Linked DNA regions of Mus musculus: region 2 is reported to be linked to region 1. The links are microRNA targets in miRTarBase. Many come from high-throughput screens and were not tested one by one. Region 1 holds a microRNA gene; the other region holds the end of a gene's coding sequence.
The links. The annotated mature microRNA mmu-miR-331-3p reads GCCCCUGGGCCUAUCCUAGAA and lies in region 1 at 1,742-1,762, opposite strand. An mRNA with a match to its seed (bases 2 to 7 or 8) in the 3' UTR can be bound and repressed. Matches are read on the target gene's strand: a 7mer-m8 pairs with bases 2 to 8, a 7mer-A1 pairs with bases 2 to 7 and ends in A, and an 8mer does both.

Region 1 (3,236 bases):
AAAAAAGCACCCTCCGGCCCAGATTTTATAACCATAAGTCTTCAGTTAGGGTAGGGAATTGAGAGTTCAAAGTTCTAGTATATAAAGATTAGTAACCATCCCAAGGCCCTTTGGAGGTGGAGGGTCTCAGAGCTAGACCTCATAGCCAGTGCTTTACCACTGAGTATACTTTAAAACCTTACTCAAGAGCCAAACCTTGCCAAGAATGGTGGCGCATGTCTGTAATCTCAGCTCTCTAGAGGTGGAGGCAGGAGGATTGTCAGAAGCTCAAGATCAGCAAGTTCCAGGCCGGTCATTGTTAGTTACATAATGCCTCGAAACCAAAAACAAAAACCACCACCACCAACAAAAATACAGAGCCAGGTCTGTGGTACACACTTACAGTAACAGAACCTGGGAGGTAAAAGCAGGAAGGTCAGAAGTTCAAGGCCAACCTTAGCTATACAGCAAGTTCAAAGCCAACCTAGGGTATGAGGTCCTGACTCAAAAAAACAAACCTAATTAAACAGTCCATAATTTCTATTTTTGGTCTCTATTTATGATGTAAATGAGTATAATGCCCCCAAAATACTCACAAAACATATTACACATCAACCTGGTGTGTGCACATGGATTCTAGGCAATGCTGATCTCTTAGGTAAGTGTGTTCATGAGGCACACACTCCAAGGAAGAAAACACTGAGAAGCACAAAACTCAATCTGTGGCATAAAAAAAATTCCCATAAACTTGGGGTAGAAATGGGATGAATATGGTGTAGAATAGTTGAGTTTTTCGGGTGAGCCTCAATAGGCGCCAGGCCCATTTGGAACTGTGACTGGGTGACGTAAATTTTGGTAGTGTGATAAAGATTGGTAGGAATGCATGATTTTGAGTTCCTTATGTATGGAGAGTTTATTAGTCTGCACAAAACATCAAAAGCATAAATTGTCAATGCTTACCATAATTTTTCAGTTTGGGTCTTCATGCATTTTCAGAATTCTTGTCTTCCAAATCAAAACAAATAAACACACAGTTGACTCTAGTAATGCCAGCTAGATTATGAGGTCATAACATATATTTATTAGATCAGGAAGAAAACTGAAGTTCTTAAAATTTTCTTCTGCACAATACTGCTGCAAAATCCACGGGCTTAACCATCTACTACCTCACCATACTCATGGTCCTGAGCCACAGAAACCTTAAAAGGAGCTCTGCTGCGCAGCAGACCCAGTGACAGGGAAAACATACTAATTTCTGAAACAAGAACTTAGAGCCACTCAGCATTAGAGTGGGAAGACGAAGACAGATGCTTGCCGTTCCGAAAGTGCCAATAAAGCATACAGCTGACAGAGACTGGTTAGACATCACTGGAAGTAGTTAAGAAAAGACAATTTGTCCAGTTTGGAAGAAGGCTGTTTTGAGAACGGTTTTGTGGCTACATTGCTGCTTTTTAAAATAGACATTTAAATCAGTTTTATCTGACGATAAAAATCACAAGACCAGTTCTCCTCACTGGGAATTAATAACAACCACATAGAATTTCTACCATAGGAAACTACTGGGGTATCAGCCTCGGGAGACTTTGTTATTACCAAATATTGTTATTTTGACTCCAGACAGATTAACCAGCCAGGGCTTGCTAAACAATAGGTACATATATAAGAACTGAATCTTGGTGAGTACAGGATGTGTAGTCAGCCTCAGTTATCTTCGGTCTTCATCCTCTGGGTGTTCCAGGAATGATGCACGGGTTTAGGTTGGTTCTAGGATAGGCCCAGGGGCCTGGTTTGATCTGGGATCCCTGGGACCATACCTAGAACAAACCCAAACAAAACCAGACTCCTTGGGAGTGCTTTCAGCTTGCATGGGCTTCTGGGCTTCTCACCCATGTGGGCCTCCAGGGCTGGATCAGGGCCACACACCAACCTTTAAGGGATAGGAGTGACATTCTTGGAGCCTTCTATATATTGTCACACACCAGTACTGTGCCTCAGCACTTTTAAGTCACAGACTTGAACAGAAGGTACAGAAAAATGCAGAACATACTTGGACTCAGAATCAGAGTCAATTTAGTCATTTAACTTGGAAGGAAAAGCGGGCTAAGAAGTTGTTTAGGTCATTGTAAAAGAGCAAACTTACAAAGGACATACTTTAGTTTTAGAAGAGATTTGCAACAATAAACTTATTTGTATGTAGTCAGTCTTTAGGACATGTTATAAAACTGTTATAAATCCTAAAATAATACTATCTATTTTAAGAAACTCTTAAGAAATAAGTGAGAAAAAATATCTATTTAGCATTATCTACAGGTAGTCCAATTTTTCAGCTTGTATAATCAGAAGTATACACACCCTAAGCATCATTTCCACTTGAGCAACATATGTGCTAAGTGAATCTCAGTACACAGGGATAAAACTAATGTCACTGCTGACACACTAAAGTGGATTCTAATGGACTGCATTTTAAAGACACCATGGGCATTAGAATCTATCACACAATCATCACTATATATATAAACCTTGGCCAGTCAGGAACTCACTATGTGGACCAGGCTGGCCTTGAAATCAGAGATATGCCTGCCTGTTTCCAGAGTGCAGGGATTAAAGGTATGTGCCACTACACCTAGATTTGATCACACATTTAAAGATAGGTATGAAATTAATTCCTCCTAATTCCTGCTGAATCTTGCCTATGTAAACCCCGGTATGAACTCCTTCTTTTTGGTTTACAGCAATTGCACTGGGTAGAATTGTGCTTCTCTAACAGCTTACTCAGAGAGAAGCACCAATCATGTCTGCCATCACTGTCTCTTCTACAATGGTGTCAATACAAGGAACTGGTTTGGACCATTCTTCTTACAATTATTATATCATAATTCCCTTCCATAACATGGGTAACTGGAGAGCAGCCACATGAAGCATGATTATGAAAGTCTGATACAGCATCCACGCTGAATGTAATGAGAGTGAGTTCCATGAAGCATGAGAATAAAATAGACTGACACACTACTCACTCTGTATATGATGACAGCGAGTCCCATGGTTAGCAAAGCACAGCACATAAACGGTACAACTAAGCAGATGTTAGGAGAGCCACTTCTAGACAGTCTAGTATTATTGGAAAATGTAATCTTGCTTATTTTATACACTGAAGGCTAATTTAGGCATGCCAACTACTGAATGACAGTGGATCTTCTGCCACTGAGTTAACACTGATGAATCATGGGAAACTTTTAATGTATACTTCACTTCCTTTA
Region 2 (3,000 bases), not on the chromosome of region 1:
ACTAACTGAACAAAAAAGCTTTGCTCTGACCAGATCCTTAATTAGAGTGCAGAACAAAGAGGAGATGATATACATCAAATATGTGCATCACATAAGGTGTGCTATTCTCATCATGGAACATCTACAACACTGAATGAAGTTGTATCATTTGTATCTACGTATCTATGTTCCTCCATACATACACATATGTACGTATAAACATATACATATAATATTCATTTATAACCTGAAACCACATATTTTCTTTGTTCTAGAATGTGATTTTTTCTGTCTTATAACTCCAATAATGAAGCCAATGTGGAATCAAAGGCACTTTGTAACTGTGCATATGAGGAACGATTGGTTTTTTTTAAGAAAAACAAAACAAGACAAAACAAAACAAAAAAAACAAAAAAACAAAATACCCGAAACAAGTGGGAACTATACAGCAGAGGATATGTCTTCATGATAATGCAGAAAATCCAACCATCACAGGGTAGCAATGCTTGCTACTTAAAATGTAGACTGTTCATACAGTGGGCACCAGTATAAGTTGAATGTGTGTATTACTGGCACCCTACTGATTTTCATGACCTTGGCTTCAGCCAAAGCCCAGACCTACAAATGGTGGCCTTTCTTAGAAAACCAAACAGACATTATGAACTAACCAGTACCCCAGAGCTCTTGACTCTAGCTGCATATGTATCAAAAGATGACCTAGTCGGCCATCACTGGAAAGAGAGGCCCATTGGTCAGGCAAACTTTATATGCCCCAGTACAGGGGAACACCAGGGCCAAAAAATGGGAGTGGGTGGGTAGGAGAGTGGGGGGGGGGGGACTTTTGGGATAGCATTGGAAATGTAATTGAAGAAAATACGTAATAAAAAAAAAGAAAGAAAGAAAACCAAACAGAATGTTTCAGGCCATTGTAGTGGAGCAAAGGGACAACATTTTCTTGCCCCCTGCAATTAACAGCAACAGTTAACCATTAGCAGTCTTTGTATTCAGAATCTCTGCTATGACGTGGGTCTTCTCTCATATCAATTTTATTGACTAGTGCATAGAAACTAGTGGCATGCAATGAAGTCTCAAGAGTATTCATGCTGTTGGTTCAAAATAAAGTCTTTTTTGATTGTATGTTCTATATGTAAGGGCTTTTGTTGTTATTTTGTTTTTATGCACAGATCAAGTCCCCTGTGATATGTAAACACATTTGTTTGATATTCTTTTGTTCTCTATCAACCAATAAAAGCATGGGAAAGACAAATAGGAATATATCTCTGTCAGTGTGTGTGTGTGTATGTGTGTGTGTGTGTGTGTGTGTGTATTAAACTGGATCTGAATAAACACTCAAAGTTTAGCAATGCATTTTGGAGGTACCAGATAACATTTATTTCTAGGATTGCCACAAACAAATAAGAGGCATTTCTTCACTTCTTATAAGAGGCTAGAGAGATGTCTCATCAGTTAAGAGCACTTACTGGTTTTGGTCCTGTAAGGACATGAGTTTTATTACCAGCATCTGCGTGGCAGCTCACAAACATCTAAAACTCCAGTTCCAGGTGATCTGACATCCTTTTTTGGACTCGGTGAGCAGTAGACACACATATAGAACACACACAGACATACATCCTTGTAAAATACCCATAAAACATAAAATATGTTTAAAATGAAATTAATAGTAAAATATGGAATGTGGGGAATGACAATACATTTAGGATCATATTCTATAAGCTATGAAGGTCTATTTGAGCCCCAAATAAAATATATTTGTCCTCCTCCTCCTCCTCTTCCTCTTCCTCCTCCTCCTTTTGCCTAAAGGCAATTGTATAAGAGGAGAGTCTTTCCTTGAGACATGTCCCCAGTCCTTACCTACTACTGATCATGTAACTACTCCTCCTTCAGGGAAGGAAGGCCTACCATCTAGAACTCTCAGTTGATGTTTTCATTACTACATCCACATTCTACCTCAGCCATCACTGTTGTCATCAAAATTTCCGAACCTTTTATGAAACAAGAAGACATCCGTATCAACTCTACAGGGACTATAAGCACTTAAAGTCAAATAGAGAACCAGTTTATACAATTAAAAGAAATGAAAACAAACAGTAGAAAGATATAAATTGGGGAAAGCTACCCAAGAATAATTACCATAAAAGAATCTAAAATATGAATGGTTATATAACAAGTGAAGGAATGGAAGCAATAGTCAAAAACCTCGCCAGCAAGTGAACCTCAGGCTCAGGGTGCTTCAACAGTCAACTCATTTCAGTATTTAAAGAAAACTATACCAATCATTTGCAAATGAATGTTAAAAAGAAAGAAGGATAGGACACTCCAATCTTATTCCATGAATTTAGTGTCCTGATACAGAAACATTACATGATTAGAGCTATGGAAAATTCACTTCTAGTGCATTTTACACCTATCTATTCTGTTGGCATGTCTTTTTTCAGTGTCGGTCACAGCCTGGGCAAAAGACTTGCAATATACAATCTCTTTTCTGCCTCCTCTTAGCCAACTTCATTCTGGCATTGGAGCACTCCTGTGGTATAAGTAGGCTTTGACCATCACAGTCTATATATTTTTAGCTAGTAATTTTTTAGCACTTTTACTAATTTCATGTTAGTGTTGGGTTCAACTATTCTCATTTATAAATATTGTCATATTTAAGCCCAGCTATTAATTTTTTATGTAAATAAAAATGTAAACATATTTCTTCAAGTTTTGTTCTATGCTTTTTCTGTAATATTAAATATCATTCTGATGTGATATTGTTCATGTTTGTGTTCTGACTTATGTACTTAAAAGCTTAGACATTATTGAATGCCTGTATATCTATGTAGCTATGAACTATATACTCACTATCTGGGAGTTCCTTTCAGAACTATATGACTTCCACTTAGGTACTAAAATTAATGTAATACTAATCATCTTTATAAAAGACTCTAAAATATCTCTAAACAATTAAAAACAAAAGAACAATAGCTTCTCTTTTTTGAAATTTTCATAGAAATGTAT

Region 2: miRTarBase lists Ms4a6c as a target of mmu-miR-331-3p. Seed matches in the 3' UTR shown: 7mer-A1 at 758-764.

The regions. Positions count from the first base shown.
Region 1 is chr10:93,962,042-93,965,277 of GRCm38, forward strand. Mir331 (microRNA 331) reads right to left here and starts at 1,822; the gene lies at 1,727-1,822. It overlaps Vezt (vezatin, adherens junctions transmembrane protein), which reads right to left. Exons shown (of 12, transcript NM_172538.5): 12 at 1-3,236.
Region 2 is chr19:11,480,952-11,483,951 of GRCm38, forward strand. It overlaps Ms4a6c (membrane-spanning 4-domains, subfamily A, member 6C), which reads left to right. Exons shown (of 7, transcript NM_028595.4): 7 at 255-1,246. The coding sequence ends at 261. BE692007 (a long non-coding RNA gene) reads right to left here and starts at 1,628. Exons shown (of 2, transcript XR_003952860.1): 1 at 1-1,628.